Arabidopsis thaliana: one gene and its partners. Each later gene encodes a partner of the first gene's protein in a complex. Each region holds a gene or a part of one and is shown in the gene's direction. Other genes may lie near its edges.

Evidence for each region. The genes of interacting proteins can lie anywhere in the genome.
Region 2: MED8 (region 1) and RFR1 share a complex: the UniProt entries of both Arabidopsis thaliana proteins name them as parts of the mediator complex.
Region 3: MED8 (region 1) and AT5G03500 share a complex: the UniProt entries of both Arabidopsis thaliana proteins name them as parts of the mediator complex.

Annotation. Positions count from the first base shown.
Region 1 is NC_003071.7:903,972-909,809, forward strand, and holds MED8 (mediator subunit 8), read left to right. Parts: upstream 1-1,541; 5' UTR 1,542-1,853; intron 1,854-1,979; 5' UTR 1,980-2,006; coding exon 2,007-2,185; intron 2,186-2,275; coding exon 2,276-2,400; intron 2,401-2,494; coding exon 2,495-2,619; intron 2,620-2,687; coding exon 2,688-2,871; intron 2,872-2,976; coding exon 2,977-3,060; intron 3,061-3,181; coding exon 3,182-3,237; intron 3,238-3,327; coding exon 3,328-3,597; intron 3,598-3,685; coding exon 3,686-3,742; intron 3,743-4,059; coding exon 4,060-4,266; intron 4,267-4,353; coding exon 4,354-4,404; intron 4,405-4,501; coding exon 4,502-4,565; intron 4,566-4,648; coding exon 4,649-4,821; 3' UTR 4,822-5,301; downstream 5,302-5,838. UniProt on the Arabidopsis thaliana protein: Component of the Mediator complex, a coactivator involved in the regulated transcription of nearly all RNA polymerase II-dependent genes.
Region 2 is NC_003074.8:8,465,731-8,473,423, forward strand, and holds the start of RFR1 (REF4-related 1), read left to right. Parts: upstream 1-1,667; 5' UTR 1,668-1,907; coding exon 1,908-2,182; intron 2,183-2,355; coding exon 2,356-2,466; intron 2,467-2,641; coding exon 2,642-2,986; intron 2,987-3,151; coding exon 3,152-3,471; intron 3,472-3,569; coding exon 3,570-3,661; intron 3,662-3,957; coding exon 3,958-4,270; intron 4,271-4,417; coding exon 4,418-4,628; intron 4,629-4,939; coding exon 4,940-5,054; intron 5,055-5,147; coding exon 5,148-5,309; intron 5,310-5,396; coding exon 5,397-6,054; intron 6,055-6,242; coding exon 6,243-6,449; intron 6,450-6,618; coding exon 6,619-7,693. UniProt on the Arabidopsis thaliana protein: Component of the Mediator complex, a coactivator involved in the regulated transcription of nearly all RNA polymerase II-dependent genes.
Region 3 is NC_003076.8:875,914-880,372, reverse strand, and holds AT5G03500 (Mediator complex, subunit Med7), read left to right. Parts: upstream 1-1,997; 5' UTR 1,998-2,599; coding exon 2,600-2,623; exon of another isoform or gene 2,624-2,706; coding exon 2,707-2,847; intron 2,848-2,929; coding exon 2,930-2,999; intron 3,000-3,172; coding exon 3,173-3,339; intron 3,340-3,428; coding exon 3,429-3,502; intron 3,503-3,639; coding exon 3,640-3,700; 3' UTR 3,701-3,933; downstream 3,934-4,459. Other genes in the region: AT5G03510 (C2H2-type zinc finger family protein), read right to left, coding at 1-20. UniProt on the Arabidopsis thaliana protein: Component of the Mediator complex, a coactivator involved in the regulated transcription of nearly all RNA polymerase II-dependent genes.

The DNA of each region.
Region 1 (5,838 bases):
AAGATGAGAAACTCTCTCTTCCTTCCCTTCCCACAAACTCTAGCCTCTGTATCTATTCTTTTTCATTCTTTCAATGTAAAACAAACAAACAAAACAATGTTTACTACATTTTTGTTTTTGTTTTTGTCTTCAAAGTACTCTTGTTTATTAAGTGATTTATACAAAAGTTTACAAGTTATGTAGGATGAACTAAGGAAGCTTATGTTTATGGGTTAGAGAGACTACATTGGATGATTCTTCTAGGATTTTGAATCACCAAGAACCATCAACAAAGCCAACAGTATCTTTCACACAAGTTACTAATATCTTCTTAAATAGTTTTACTTTGTAAGAACCATTTCCTTGAGTGGGTTTACAATGGGACGGACTAACTTGCGTACAAAGACCGTTTTTTATTCACTATTCATAATTTTGGTCCGCAGTTTAGTAAATAGGAAAAAATATAAAAACTCTAGGGGAATTGGAAAACTAACCAAAAAAAAATATAATTAAGAAACTAGCATAAAAAAAAAAGCAATGATATCCTCTATATTTTATATATTAATTCCAAGTTTACCCCCTCTATCTCTTTCCGTCTACCTCTCTCTTCCCTTCTCTCTCCCCTCTATCTTTTTCTCTCTCTCTCTTTCTCTCTCTTTCTTTTTTTCTCCCCCTCTCTCTTTCTCCTCCCAATAAAGTTCCTACACCTACCTCGTTACTTGTTTTTTATTTCAAATTAGAGTCTCTTAATTACTTTAGGGTGATATTTGATTTGGGGGTTTCGAATTACAGAGCGAGGAACACAAGTTAGGTTCAGGGAATTGACTTTCGTTGTTGCACTTGATGATGAAATAGGGTTCCGTTGTTGCGCTTGGTGTATTGGTGATGAAATTGAGTTCCGTTGTTGCATTTTGAGAGATACTATTCTATTTTGTAAATAGTATACTATTTACGTATACCTTGTTCTATATACGTTTTAAAATGAATTGTTTGTTTTGATTAAAGATGTTAAGTGATTTCATTAATGTTTTAGATTTAAACCCTTGGGTTCCCTATATATTATCCCTTTAGGGTTTAGTATACTTCCATCAAAAAATATTGTCAATTTATATAGAACGTTATGTTATTCATTGACAACACTATTCACATCTAAATTATTTTGTGTCTATTTTCAAAAATTTAAGTCATGATATTTGTAGAAAACTATACAACTTTTTAATAGATATATCATGAACTTGAATTAAATTTTTTAAGATCAGATAATATGAGTTACAATTGAAAAGGAGTAAAGAAAAAAGAAAGAGAAAAGAGAATTTCTCTCCTACCACCTATTTCTCTTCTCACCTCAACACCAATAATAAAGTCACGTCAGCTCACACTAATCATTCTCCTTCTTCGCTGACGAAGCGTAACACCAGGACAGTGATGTCTTTTTACTCTCCTTGAAGGTTATTTACTACATTTACAAATTTATGGTGTTAGTTGGTTAATTATTTAGTAAAAAAGTGTTATATCTACAAATCACGCAAAACTCTATTACGGACCAACAAATAGTTTATTTGAAAGCAAAAAAACAAAACTTGGTCCGTAACGGATTATTGTCCGTCTTAGAAATATAATGGTCTACTCCGCAAACAGATTTGTCCGTCTTAGCGACATATTGGTCTAGTCTGCAAACGGATTTATCCGCTCTGTCTATTTGTTGCAACCTTGTAAGTTTTCAAAGAGGAAACACATATATATGTTATGGATTCGGTATGTTATTATATTTCCCGGTTCTATTTCTCAAACACACTCTCTCGTCTTCTCCAATAACTAACTTCTCCAAATCAAAGCCTTCTTCGAGATTTTGCGCATTCCTCGTTTTCTAATTCGTAAGTTTCTCTTTTGTGTGTGTTTCTAATCGAAACTTTTGTGTCAATTTCAAATCGGAAACCTAATTAATTTGTTCAATTCGCTGTGATGTTAAAAACCCCTAATTACGTTAAATTTGGAATTAGGGTTTGTGTATTAGCTCTGTGTTATCAATGGAGACACAGCCGCAGCAACCACCTCCTCCTCCGGTAGCTGAGAAGCTGAATCCAAAACTGGAGAAGGAACTGAATCTGGAGTCGTTGAAGACACGAGCCGTTAGCTTGGCCAAAGCCATTGCTCGAATCCTTGAAGATTTCGACGCTTATGGTCGAACCAACACTACTCCTAAATGGTTCATCATCATCGAATCCAGAATTTGATAATATTTTGATGTTTATGAATTTTTTGTAACAAGGATTGATTTTCTTTTTGTTTTGAACAGGCAGGATATTCTAGGGCAGTATTCGATGGTAAATCTCGAGCTTTTTAACATTGTGGAAGAAGTAAAGAGAGTTTCAAATGCGTTTGTTGTGCTTCCTAAGAACGTCAATGCTATGAACGCTGCAAGTATGGTCTTTTTTTAGTTGTTTTAGTTGATGAGTTAAATGAATTGTGAATGTGATGAACTGGTTTAGCTTAGCATTTATCAGTGAATCTGCAGTTTTACCGGTTATGTTGTCTTCGAAATTACTACCGGAGATGGAAACTGATGACAATGCCAAGAGAGAGCAGTTGCTTCAAGGTGTTCAGAGTTTGCCTATACCAATGCAAATCGAAAGGCTTAAGGTTAGTTTTGTAATGTATTTTTGTTGTGATTTGTTTGCTGGTTTTTGAAATGGTATCTGTTATTACAGGCGAGGATGGATATGATTGCAGCAGCTTGTGAAAATGCAGAAAGAGTATTAGCTGATACTCGTAAAGCTTACGGATTTGGCACTCGTCAAGGCCCGTCTATGCTTCCTACTATGGATAAAGGTCAAGCTGCAAAGATTCAGGAGCAGGAGAAAATGCTACGAGATGCTGTAAATGACGGTAAAGGTAAGAGGGTTTTAGAATTTATTGAGTCATTTGATAGTGTACGAAACTGCAGTTTTCTGTTTTGCTGAATTCCTTCTCATGTTCTTTTACAATGGTTGTTTCTAGGAACACAACTGCCTCCAGACCAGAGACAGATAACCACTGCACTTCCACCACATCTGGCAGATGTGCTAATTATCAATGATGCAGGTAACGATTTCATTGATCTGTCTGGTAGAAGTAAACCCAATGCTTGAATCTTCTTTATTTTGTTACTACTACCAATGGTATTCTCACGTTGTTAATGGCTCCAAAAATTCTCTTTCATTAGGTAAGATTGCATTACCTGGGCAATCAAACAACATTAACAATCAAGGAATGATGCAGGTTAAACTAGTTTATTCTCTCTAGTTGTGATGATTATTACTTTTGTTAGTATCATTGTCTTTCGAGGTTCATGTCTTTGTGTGTTTTTAGGTTTCCGGGACTCAATTTGTGGGAAGATCAGCTGCATCTCCATCTGGTCCTAATTTTGATAACACAACATCTCCCTTACCATATTCCAATTCTCCTCGCGCTACGGGTATGGTTAATGTGCCTTCGCCTCAGCATCAAATCCAGCAACAACAGTTTCAACAGCAGCAGCAAAGGTCAAAATTAATGCAGTTGCCTCAACATCAGCAGCAGCAACTACTTGCACAACAACAACAACAGCTCAGGCAATCTTCTATGCAGGGATTGGGTCAAGTAGGCTTTGACATTTTGCAGACGTAGCAATTGACTGTTTTTTCCTACCATACTGCTTTATTGAGCAACATGCTAATTCTTTGTGTAGAGTCAGATACCAGCACTTCATGATATGCATGGGCAAGCTCAGCAAAAGTTTCAGACGGTAAGATAAATAGAACTACAACATAGTTAGGGGATAGATGTGTGAAGTGAAAAGGATCAGACACTACCTTGGTCAATTATTTGTATCATTATGCAGTAGTTATGGCCATAAATGAAGATGACTAGACGTATTTATACAAGTTTACATATACCAAGTGAATGATTCATACTCTTGAAAAGTTATCCTAGATCTTGGGACTTGGCAGAAGCTTTTATATAAAAGTAACTGTGACAGTTCGTAGTTTCAAACAGTAGAATCAAATGAAATTATGAAACAAGCTTTTGTCTTTTAAGTGTGAGTTTTATCTTATTTTTCAGTCACATGGGCAACATCAAATGCCATATTCCCAGCCAATGGGCGCGCACCAACAATTCCAAGCTAGACAGCTCTCAGGTGGACATATTCAGCATAGCATGTCTCAAGGACAGCTCAATCCAGCGATGAACCGTCACTTAAACCAGTTTTCAGGTGGAGCCAATAGTGCATTGTTTACTTCTGCACAAGGCTCCCCAAGTAGCCAAATGGTCAGTCACCTCTCTTTAACCTCTTGAATTGATGATTCGAAACAATTACTAATCATATTTTCTACGTACTTTTTCTTTTAATTCTAGATACCAAACATGTCATCTATGCAATCTCAGACACTTGTTCCTAGGATGCAGGTTAGCTCAAAAACTCCTCTACTCATTATGTTTCCCAAATCTGAACGATGAACATTGTCTTAATCTGATGATCTCTTTGGATTTTTATGGTTGTCAGCAATTTGGAGTTTCGGGTACCAATCCCCAAAGAAGCCATTCGTCTCAAATGTTGGGTGACCAGAGTAAGTAAACAAATCTCTTCTAAAACATGTTTTCTTACATCAAAATCGATTCCCTGACTATTTCATTTGTCCTATCTTTACAGTGTTTAACACCAGCGGAATGATGCAAACACAGCAAACACAAATTCAGCAATCGCAACAGCAGCAGCAGCAGCAACAACAAGGAGGCTATGGAAATATGCAGACGAATCAGCAGAGTCTACAGCCTAATAACATGATGCAGAATGCTCAACAAAGGCACCAAAATCCTCAATAACCCCTTTTAAATAATTTGGGCTTGTAATGGGCCGATGCCTGTATTTTGTAGTACCAAAGGCCTGGCCCATTCTTTAACATTAATACACTCACCAGATTTCTCTAGTTGTATGGTACTTTCACACTACACTAGTACACTTTGTTTACTTGTATCATTGTATGAGGTTAAAAACGTGAAGCAGAGATTGGACGGTGGAGGATTGTTTTCGTTCTGACATGTTTATTGAGAATTCGACACGTGGCATCGACGTGAACATCTCGACGCCGTTGATGGGGTTATAGAGACAAAACGAAGACGCGTTTCTGTTGTACACGGGACTCGAGAGAGCGACGTGTCTATGAAGTTTACCTGTTTTCTGAACTTTAAACAGAGAGCTTTAAAACTGCGACTCGAAAGCTATTAAATTTTCTGACAATTTGTTTTGTTTCTTGTCAACTTAATTTTATATACTCATTTTTTATGTACTTATTTAGCTCAACGACTCGTTTAGTTACCTCAATCAAATTTTGAAATTTAGTTACCATTTCTTTTAAATTTTTTGTTTGCTTTTGTTACAAATATGAAAAACTAGTTTACTTTGGTTTTTAGGAATTTGCGAAAAAATCACTCAAAATCGCTTATTTTTACAATTTATTGTGCACATTCAAAAAATGCAAAATAAATTTATAAAATTTAAAATAATACACAATATAATTTATTTGTGCGATTTTGCATATGTTATAAACGTTTTCACTATAACATATATTTGTATTCAAAAGTTTTAAAGATATAATTGAACTCATCATCTCAAAGGCTTTGATTTGATATATTATTTTCTTTAATATAAATATTCAATGCATAATTTTCTTTAAATTAATTTTATATAAAATAAATATTTTACTATATATTATATGAAATAAATGCTTTATTATAGGGAAAAAACCCAAAACAAACCTCAACTTGTTATGAATAAAGATGGATGCTCATTATAACGCCCATCATCTAAACTCATCATCTAGATGTTTCTAAGGTTTTACC
Region 2 (7,693 bases), on another chromosome or scaffold:
TTGTACCAAAAATAAAGTACTTTTTTACCAAGAAATTTCGGATTGTAGCCAAAATATGTCTTGTTTTATTTTTTTTGTTCACCAAAAATATGTTAAACTAGTTTTTTGACTTTTTCCCCCATGCGTTGTTGTTGTTATTCGGACGACCAATATTTAATACAGTATTCAAGTGTAGCTAAGCTACTGATTCCAGATAAAGTAAAAAAATGTCTTTGATACCAACTTCACTTTGACCAATTATCGAACTCTTTAATTTCATAATATATAGCTTTGACAAATATCCCATCAGAATTCATAAATCGCCACATGAATCTTATAATTGTCAACTATGTGCAGTCCAATATTAATATCATGGAAAACTAGATTACTAGCATTTAATTTCTTAATTGTATTTAGGTTATAGACTTAACATGGTTTTTCTTCTAGAGCATTTTCACTACATTTTTTTCTTTCTATGTTATTATTTTATGTTTTACTTATTGTTACATCCATTTACAACGATGTTGGATAAAATATTTTTAACTGTTCAGTCCGTAAATGACTAGCTAAATTTTTACGGATATATTTTTACATAAAAAAAGAAATTATTTTTACGATTTACCAATTTAACTCTTCTTTCTCTCTAAGTTTTCATTTATTAAAAATGATAGTTTTTTTAAGAAAGTTATTTGTATTTATTTATTTAAAATTGGATGCAAAAAATTACAAAACTTGGAAGAAATATTGTTAACCCATCTTTATCAGTATAGAATTTCTGATTACTCCCTGCGTTGAAAATAAGAAGATCCATAGAACGTGGTAATGTTTTTTTTTTTTTTTTTCTGGCAAGAAATGGTAATGTTAATCAATTAGACTCATGACTAAAGCTGGAAAATTTGACTAAAATGGTATTATCTTGCATTATTACCTAAAAGCTCTTCTTGCATTACTCTTTCATGCAAAATTGCCTCCAAAAGTCATACTTCGAAATCATGGCTTTGTAACTCACCCTTGCCACCATCTATCTAAACTTATTATTGTTTAAAACAAAATTGATTTTCAAAGAAAAAAAAAATATAAACTCCCACCGGTCAATAACTTTTAATTTTCACTTCAATTATTCATAAAATAAATATATACACCTTGATTCTTTCTTAATAACTGGAGTTATTTTGAATTTAAATTACTTTTGAAATACAAAAGAAAGTAAGATAATTTTGCCATTTAAAATGTCTACAACAATTATGTTAACACTTAACATACATTTTTAGAACCAAATGGTAATGGTCCACTAGTTAAAAGATTTCTTATGAATGTCTTTTTATGCAGAGTTCGAATTTTCTCACAACGATTTTAACCATTTTCGTCACTCGCAAAATTTTTAGTGGATAACAAAAAAAAAAAAAAGTTGAAATTTAATGGAAATTTAGGAGATTTGTCCAATTTTTAATTTTCCCGATTAATTTAAAAAATCTACTTTACGCCTTTTATTGACAAAGATGCATATTAACTATATATATATATATATATATATATATATATATATATATATATTATAAACTAAATTTTGTAGAACCCATCAGAAGAAATTTGTACTTTTAACTTTAAAATCAATTAAAAAATTTCAATTCAAATAAAAAAAAATCCAAAATTGTTTATAAATTCAAGAAATATAACACACAAGTTGACATAAACAGTGGAGAGATTTGTGAAATGTGAACTCTTTTGACGTCTTTCTCATATTTCGTCTCGGGACAATTCACACGCACTGAATCATCTCTCTCACGAGGACTATTCAGCCATTTGCAAACGCACACACAAACGCACACGCGTTTATTTTTTTTTCGCCAAATCAAATCTGAAGAGTTCCTGTATCTTTTAACCGCTCTTCTTCTTCTTCAGAGAGCTTCGTTGATTGAACGGAAAAAATGGTGGTTCCTGGACGGAGAACCGTCTGGGATTGTGTGATTGAGCTGACAAAGATGGCTCAAGAGAACTGTGTCGATCCTCGTCTTTGGGCTTCTCAGTTATCATCGAATTTGAAATTCTTCGCCGTGGAGTTACCGTCGACGGAGCTTGCGGAGGTTATTGTTTCGTACATTTGTTGGGATAATAACGTTCCTATTGTTTGGAAGTTTCTTGAAAGAGCTATGGCTTTGAAGCTTGTTTCTCCTCTCGTTGTTCTTGCTCTTCTCGCTGACAGGTCTGGATTCATCGCTCATGGATTGTTTCCTTAGGGTTCTATGTGTTGATGATTTATTTCGTAATTTGGATTGTGAGTTGGTGAATTATAGTTTGGAAAATCTCTACGATTTTGTGATGGATCTTAGATTTGGTTTTATCTTATTGTAGTTCTATGTTTTCTGATTGTTGCAGAGTTGTTCCAACCCGGTCTACGCAACAAGCAGCTTATAGAATTTACTTGGAGCTGCTCAAGAGAAATATGTTCACCATTAAAGATCATATTAGTGGACCTCACTACCAGAAGTGAGTTTTTTTTTGTTGATACTTCTTACTTACTGTTTCATTCAAATGCTTGGCTCTGTAGGAAAAATGTTAGTAAATGTATGTTTCCATTAACATTGTACTCAGAAGTAGAATTAGAGAATACAAAATACTGTTTTGGCTTACTTGGTATTTATCTTCCTTCTTCTTTGTACAGGGTCATGATTTCAGTATCCAATATTCTTCGTCTTTCAGAGTTATTTGATCTGGACACAAGCAAACCTGGTGTGCTTTTAGTAGAGTTTGTTTTTAAGATGGTGTCACAATTGCTAGATGCAGCGTTAAGTGATGAAGGTTTGCTAGAGCTAAGCCAAGACTCGAGCTCCCAGTGGCTAGTTAAGTCTCAAGATATGGAAATTGATGCTCCTGAGAGATATAATGAAAAGACTGGATCACTAGAGAAGTTACAGAGTTTGAATACCATCATGGCTATTGAGTTGATAGCGGAATTCCTCAGAAATACAGTGATTGCGAGATTGCTATACTTGGTATCTTCCAACAGGTATGCATCATAGTTAACGAGAGTAAAGTTTTTTCAGTGGCATCATAGTTATGTTGTTCTTTGCATTGGCAGATATTTTGCTTAATCATGACCTGAATTTGACAAGTAATGTCTCTGTAGTAAAGTGTTTTTCTTTTAATCCATTTGCTATCCATTTCTTTTCAGGGCTTCGAAGTGGCATGAATTTGTCCAGAAAGTGCAGCTTCTTGGAGAAAATTCATCGGCTTTAAAACACTCAAAGGTTCTAAATTCTGGGGATCTATTACAATTGATTTCGAATAGACGATTTGGGTATTCTTATGATAGCAAAGTAACTTCAGCACGGAAATCCAATGCAATTGTGGATTTTGGATCTCTCTCTTCCTATGCTGGCTTATGCCATGGAGCAAGTCTCTCTTCACTTTGGCTTCCTCTTGATCTAGTATTTGAAGATGCAATGGATGGATATCAAGTAAACCCAACTAGTGCGATTGAAATCATTACCGGTAATTTGTAGACTCCATCTTCTTTCACTTGTGGCTTTGACCAAAGAAAAGATATCTCAAATATATAACGAAATGACTTGGGAGTATTAAATTTTCAGGTCTAGCTAAAACACTTAAAGAAATTAATGGGAGCACTTGGCATGACACTTTCTTGGGGCTTTGGATAGCAGCTCTCCGACTTGTTCAAAGGGTTAGATTACTCTCTTACTGATCTTTCTGTTTGTGATTTCACCACTACTTTGGTACCCAGAAAAGTGCAATTGCTATTGCTTGCAAGTTTTACTTACACCGTGTGCTTTTGTAATTGGTTCTGTTATTTGGTTATAATTCCCAAGACTTTTGTTACCTGCAGTTTCAGAGGACTTTCTTACACACTTTCTCTTGACTGAAGCTGTACTATTTGATTGTTACTCTGTCATCCATGATAAGTTTAGATTTTCCGTATCTAATGGCTGTTCTGATTTTCTCGTTTTTCTTTATTACTAGGAAAGGGATCCTATTGAGGGACCTATTCCTCGACTGGACACAAGGCTGTGCATGTCATTATGTATTGTGCCTCTTGTGGTCGCAAACCTTATTGAAGAGGGGAAATACGAATCTGTCATGGAAAAGCTGCGAGATGACCTTGTTACAAGTTTGCAGGTCCTCGGTGATTTCCCTGGATTGCTGGCTCCTCCCAAATGCGTTGTTTCTGCTGCCAACAAGGCTGCCACAAAGGCAATCTTGTTTTTGTCTGGTGGCAATGTTGGAAAGTCATGTTTTGATGTCATAAACATGAAGGACATGCCTGTCAACTGCTGTAAGTTTAATAAAATTTCGCTCTATTGAATTGAAGTTAAACCAATTTGTTTGTCTTCGTATTCTTCATTATTGTCGCTTGATTGTCTTCATTTGTTGATTTTATGGGCCTCTTTCGTGCCTAACATACTTTATGTACATGCCGTAGCTGGAAACATGCGCCACCTGATAGTCGAGGCTTGTATTGCAAGAAACATACTGGATATGTCGGCTTATTCGTGGCCTGGCTATGTTAATGGCCGAATCAACCAAATACCTCAGAGTCTGCCGAATGAAGTACCCTGCTGGTCATCATTTGTGAAAGGGGCTCCACTAAATGCCGCAATGGTGAATACATTAGTTTCAGTTCCTGCTTCAAGGTAGAATGAGTTATTATCTTCTTTTTGTTTCTTTTTGCTCTATTAGCTCCACACTACTTCATCCACATAGTCTTCCCTCCAAATCATACAGTCAGTGGTAATTTAAAATTACTATACAAAATTAAGCTACGGAGTTTCAAAGTCGTAACCTAAGGAAACCATTGCCACAATGAGAATAGTGGTTGCATTCTAGTTTGACTTAAGTTCTGCTTCTTCTTCAGTTATTCCTTTTTGTTTCTTAGCCAGGTAATGCTCTTTTTTTAATTTACCGAGAGTAAAGCAACTGAAATACCTCATGGATTTGATGGAAGCTTAGCAGAGCTCGAGAAACTATTTGAGGTTGCAGTCAAAGGATCGGATGACGAGAAGATATCTGCTGCTACAGTTCTTTGCGGGGCATCTCTCACACGGGGTTGGAACATACAGGTTGGCATTAAATCCACTAATCAGAATCTCCACCAGTGAGAATTTTCGGTTGAACAGACATGTTTGATTTATCTATCTTTCTTCGATGTACAGGAACACACTGTTGAATATCTTACAAGATTACTATCCCCACCCGTTCCAGCAGATTATTCCAGGGCTGAAAATCATTTGATTGGTTATGCCTGCATGTTGAATGTTGTTATTGTTGGGATAGGATCTGTTGACAGCATTCAAATTTTCTCTTTACATGGCATGGTATGTAAATTGTACTTCCAAGTTTACTAGACTTAATAGTGAATTTGCTGAAAGATGTAATGTACGATTTTGATGGCTACTTTTTAGGTTCCGCAACTTGCTTGCTCACTAATGCCAATTTGTGAAGAGTTTGGATCTTACACCCCGAGTGTATCATGGACTCTTCCTTCTGGAGAAGCAATATCAGCATATTCTGTTTTCTCAAATGCATTCACTCTTCTTTTAAAGCTATGGAGATTCAATCATCCTCCTATTGAGCATGGTGTGGGAGATGTTCCCACAGTTGGCTCCCAACTCACTCCTGAACATCTTCTTTCAGTGCGTAATTCTTATCTTGTTTCGTCGGAGATCCTTGATAGAGACCGAAACAGAAAGAGACTTTCAGAAGTTGCAAGGGCAGCATCTTGCCAGCCCGTGTTTGTGGACTCGTTCCCCAAGCTGAAAGTCTGGTATAGGCAGCACCAAAGATGCATAGCAGCCACATTATCTGGACTTACACATGGATCTCCCGTTCATCAGACAGTTGAAGCACTTCTCAACATGACGTTCGGAAAGGTCAGAGGCAGTCAGACTTTAAATCCAGTAAATTCGGGCACAAGCAGTTCATCAGGAGCTGCAAGTGAAGATAGCAATATTAGACCTGAGTTTCCTGCTTGGGATATCCTCAAAGCCGTTCCATATGTTGTCGATGCTGCTTTAACCGCTTGTACTCATGGAAGGCTTTCGCCTCGTCAGTTAGCTACAGGTTTGTTTTGTTTTGCTGGATCAGATTCCTAATTGTGTTGTCATGTGCGATAACATCCGTCTATATGACCTTTGGCAACTCTGAATGCCAATGAGAGATGTTTGACTGTGTTGATCAGTTGTTATATCAGATGCATTTCTTACAGTAAAGTGAATTTATTTACAGAATAACAAGTGTTTTTCTTTCAGGGCTGAAAGACTTAGCAGATTTTCTCCCGGCATCATTAGCAACGATAGTAAGCTATTTCTCAGCTGAGGTGAGTAGAGGTGTTTGGAAGCCAGTATTCATGAACGGCGTGGATTGGCCAAGTCCAGCTACAAATCTATCCACTGTTGAGGAATATATAACGAAAATTCTTGCAACAACAGGCGTCGATATCCCTAGCCTTGCTCCAGGTAAAACTATTCAACGTGTTTAAAATGCCAGTCTGTTTGTTTGGCTTACCATCTCTGTAGTCTGTACCATCCTCTCTTTATAATAAGCTTTTTACCTGTCCTGATTTGATGTGTTAAAGTTAAAGTTGTCTTTTGAACTTATGGTTGACTTCTTGCTGTGGTATTGCAGGAGGGAGTTCTCCGGCAACGCTTCCTTTACCTCTAGCCGCATTTGTTAGTCTAACCATTACTTACAAAATTGACAAAGCCTCAGAGCGGTTTCTCAACCTGGCTGGCCCAGCTCTGGAGTGCTTGGCTGCAGGCTGCCCTTGGCCTTGCATGCCCATTGTAGCTTCATTATGGACCCAAAAGGCGAAACGTTGGTTTGACTTCCTTGTTTTCTCTGCCTCTCGCACCGTCTTCCTTCACAACCAAGACGCTGTGATTCAGCTCCTCAGAAACTGCTTCAGTGCCACTCTGGGTTTGAATGCTGCCCCCATGTCAAATGATGGTGGCGTTGGAGCTCTTCTTGGCCATGGATTCGGCTCTCATTTCTATGGAGGGATCTCTCCTGTAGCACCAGGGATTCTTTATCTCCGTATGTATCGTGCTCTCAGAGATACTGTCTCCGTATCGGAAGAGATTCTCTCTCTGCTGATACATTCGGTGGAGGATATAGCCCAGAACAGGCTCTCAAAGGAGAAGCTGGAAAAGCTGAAGACAGTGAAGAACGGATCAAGATACGGCCAAAGTTCTCTAGCAACAGCAATGACTCAAGTGAAGCTTGCTGCTTCGCTGAGTGCCTCGTTGGTATGGCTAACCGGTGGCTTAGGTGTGGTCCACGTTCTCATCAAAGAAACGATCCCATCTTGGTTTCTATCAACTGACAAATCAGACCGAGAACAAGGACCATCGGATCTAGTTGCAGAGCTAAGAGGTCATGCCCTTGCCTACTTTGTGGTCCTATGTGGAGCACTTACTTGGGGCGTGGATTCAAGATCATCTGCATCCAAACGCCGCCGCCAAGCAATCTTGGGAAGCCACTTGGAGTTCATCGCGAGTGCCTTAGATGGGAAAATATCAGTGGGATGTGAAACAGCAACTTGGCGAACATATATTTCCGGTTTGGTGAGTCTAATGGTGAGCTGTTTGCCGCTCTGGGTGACAGAGATCGATACAGAAGTGTTAAAGAGTCTAAGCAATGGACTAAGAAAATGGGGAAAAGACGAGCTAGCGATTGTATTACTCTCCTTGGGAGGTCTCAA
Region 3 (4,459 bases), on another chromosome or scaffold:
TCCTCAAGAACACTTGTCATGATCCTCCGTTTTTTATTTGCTCTCTGTATTTCAAGAACACAAGAGGTCGTATATGTATATATGGAGAGAAGTATCAAAGAGTGTTTGGTGGGTTTGGTTTATATGTCTAAGTATTTATATATATTTGTATGTGATTGTATTTGTTTATACACACAATAGTATTGTGTGTATATATAATGTAATGGGTAAGAGAAAAGATGAGAAAAGAAGCAAACCCAAAATAACTTTTGGTGAAGGATTCCTTTCTGGAAGTTTTGGTTTGCAAGCCTGGAACCACTTGTTGTTCTCTTCTTGTTTTTATTTTTTTCCTTTCAATTTTTTTTAAATGATTTTCTCTTTTTTTGGTTAACTTTTGTTTTGCTTGTCTTATGAATCACATAAAAAAAAATACTAGTATTTTACTTATTAAATACTCATAAGCATCCTTATAATTTCAAAAGACACACATCATTATAGCTAAAGTAACAAAAATGTGGATTCAATGTCAACACTAATCTTAGAAGATGTTATTTTATTTTCTTTCTGAAAATGAAATTAAATCTGTGTTTTCTGTTCAAGAAGGTGTCATTCTACATATACCATTTTTTCTTATTAATAAAATGAACTACAATTTTGACACTTGGAATGTAATGTATTATATTAAGAAGAATCAAACTGGATTGCGTATTCTAAATATGCCACTCAATTTATTGATTTTTTTTCCTTTGATTTCACATTATCACTAACTAAAATCCTAAAACTTTATAAATAATTTTATATTGATGGCTTGAGTCATCCACAAGTAGTTTCAACACGAAACACAGTACCACAACACACACAATTCAAGCATATTATAAATTCCTGCAAACTTATTACGTTTTGTAACAAATTACATTAAAGATTTGAAACCAACTATTATATATAAAAGCTACTAAAGTACAAATTTAACTTGAAAATACGTCGAATTCTGTTTTTGTTTCTTAATACTACTAATCATTGCGGATATATGTACACTTAAGTTGCTGATTAAATAATTAAGTTAATTAATTGGAAAGTAAAAGGCAATCGAATTTTGGGGTCGAGCAGTTCATGTGCAGTTGAGCCAACCCACAATTACACAACACACAATTATGAATCATGATTCTAGTTATGTATACAATATTTAGTTATAATGATATTAGCTAAAACGAATTAAATATATAATATCACTCCCTATGTTTGCGCCTCTTTCTAAGAAACTTTGATTTTTATTTTGGTTATCCAATTATTTGATCAAACCATTATTAATCTTGTGATTAGCTAATAATATGTATTCGATGAAGTAACCTCCCTTATCGTAGTTTGTAACTGTAGTCTAGGTCTTTGTAGTATAGTATACTAATAAACTCGGTGACAGCAATTTATAAAATTCAAGAAACACATGTTTTTTTAATATTCATTCTACATAATGAGTTTCTTAGAGCTGGATTGATATCCAACTTTTACTCATTCAACTCTATACACATTAGTTGTCTTTGGCTCTCAATGATTATCTTTTGCTAACGTGTTACTATACATACAATAGATCATTAAGAAGAATATTTTTGAGTGTATTGTGAAGCTAGTATCATCACAATTTTAAAATGAATAAATCAGGAGGAATTGATTTAAGTCTTGGCGTCGAGGATTGTGTGTGTGAAAGAGAGATAGAGAATTGCTTGGCCGCCAAAAGAAGCCATTACTTGCCAACTAGCTAGCTTCACTACTCAACCTAAGCAAAGCATATACTTTATAAATAAATAAATAAAATCATAAACATAATTAGTCGTCACCCATCATACATTCATCATCACCATCCTAACAAAACCTTTTTTACAAGGCTTCTCAAAAACCGTTAAGTAGTTGTTGCAACTTGCAAGGATCACCTAAACAAATTATACCGAAACTTGCACAATTGAATTCCAATATTTTAAAAACATTTTTCTTTTGTCATTTGAAGCATATAAAATGGTTCTGAATTCTGATATAGGTGGGTGGAACAGAGTCTTCCCCCATATAGCAAATCCCTCAACGGCTCTAGAAATACGTTTTAAGCTTCACGAGGAATAAGAAGATTAGGAATATATGGGCTTAAAGCAGGCCTGAACTAAATTAAAGGCCCAACTAAAAGAGAGGAAACAAATCTCGATTTGCTTTCTCTGGTGAGCGTGTCTTCTTCCGATCGTCTTCTCCGGCTGCGTGAATTCTCCGCCGAGCCATCTCTCTGGCGAATCTCCAGTGAGTTCTATTATTTTCACTCTGTCTTTTATGCTTCCCGTGAAAGGGATTTTTTTATTTCTCTCCCTCAGATTCTCCTTGTCGCCACCAACTCATTCGTCTCCCTACCCATTTGTGGCCACTGGATTTTTTGTATTGACCTTTCTTTTTTCCTCATGAATCAATTGAAATCTACTGTTAAGCATTTGACGATTTTGGACAAATTGGTGGTGATTTAGGAATAACACGGTTGTGGTGGTGGCGGCTACTTCAACGTGACGATGACAGATTAGTTTCTAGTGATGACAGATTAGTTTCTAGTGGTCGCAGAGTTATTTGGTAGTGATGACATAGTTGTATTCTAATGAGAACAGATTGTTTTATGGCGGTAGACGGATTTGTTTTTGATTAGAAACCCTAATTTTAGGAATCTGTTACTGATTTTGCTTAGTTTTTGATTTGGATATGTAGAGAATAATGGCTACAGCTACATATCCACCTCCTCCTCCATATTACAGACTCTACAAGGATTTCTCAGAAAACACTGATTCTGCTCCTGAACCTCCTCCTCCGATTGAAGGCACCTACGTCTGTTTTGGAGGCAACTATACTGTGAGTCTCCTCCACATTTCCCCCTCTTTAAAATCTTCATCTTTATGTGTTTTTAGCAATTTTCAATTTTTTTGGTTAGTAGACTGAAGATGTTCTTCCAAGCTTAGAAGAACAAGGAGTGCCTCAACTTTATCCAAAAGATTCTAATCTTGGTATGTCATTCTCCTAACTCTGTGAAATCAAACTCAAAATGCAATTGCTATTGGCTGTCTAGAGTATGGTTTTTGGTTCTTCCCTTCATTGGAATCAAACTTATTACATGAGTTCATTTGCAAGTTATGTTCTTTGAAAGTACCTCTTTGAGTTCAAATATCTTTGTGTGTAGATTACAAGAAGGAACTCAGGTCACTGAATAGAGAACTACAGTTACATATATTGGAGCTTGCTGATGTTCTTGTTGACAGACCTTCTCAATATGCGAAGAGAATTGGTGAAATTTCTTCAATCTTCAAGAACTTGCATCACCTTCTCAATTCCTTGAGGCCTCACCAAGTAAAGAAGCTCTCATCTTTCGATTAATTACAACATGGTTTCAACACTTTTTGTTTTTTCATCGTTTTGATCTTTCTCTTGTTGTATAGGCGAGAGCAACGCTTATTCACATTATGGAACTTCAAATTCAACAGAGGAAACAAGCTGTGGAAGACATTAAGAGGTTTGTATATGCTACTTAAGTTTTCTGTCTTTATGGTGTGTTAATAATTTAATATCAATCTATCATCTGTTTAAAGATTCTTCAGAAGCTTTGTTGGTTGTTCTTATGGGTCCGTTTGATGTTTTGGTTGTGTGCAGGAGGAGAGAAGAAGCACAAGGACTTCTTAAGGATGCTTTCGTCACTTTAGATGGTCAATAAAGTATACTTTTTGTTAATCCCATTTTGTGTAAATTAGCGCTAATAACCTATGCCCTCGAAACTTTTTTTAATTGATCCTGTGTGTGTGAGAGAGAGAGACAGACGTGTGCAATCTCATGATTCAACAAGTAAAGCCTATATCATCTTTATTCAATGTTACCCGTGAACCGGCATTTAGTTCCGCCGGTTAGTGCGGTTCAACATTTATTATTACAATTTCGGCTTAACGGGAACTATTATAACCATAACGGATTCATAAGAAGATTAGACCAATATGGGCTTAACGCAGGGCTAAACTAAATTGAAGACCCGACAGTTTGTTCGTAACTACACGTAAGTATCTGAACAACAACAACAGCTTTATAAGGGAATCAACAAAAAATAGTTGAACAAAAAAAAATTAACCTTGTTCAAAGCTAAATCCTGTCAAATATCTTTGGAACCCTAGCAGTCGGTCTTGTCAATTTATCATCAGCATGGACGAATCCGCCATCAAAGTAATCTTCTTCTCCTTATGGACTCTCCTCTTACTCACTCTATTTCTCTTCACAAGAGGATGGAGATGAAGATTAAGATGGATATGGACAGGAGAAAGAGGATGGAGATGGAGAATTAGGAGGGAGATGGAGAATTAGGAGGAGACGAACCTCTTTGTTTTTTTATAATGTATTTACCTTTGTTTGTTTTTGTCTTTGCATGTTAAAAGTAAGTAAGCTCAGTAATCATCACCTGCCTTGATCATGTATGATATGTCATTCT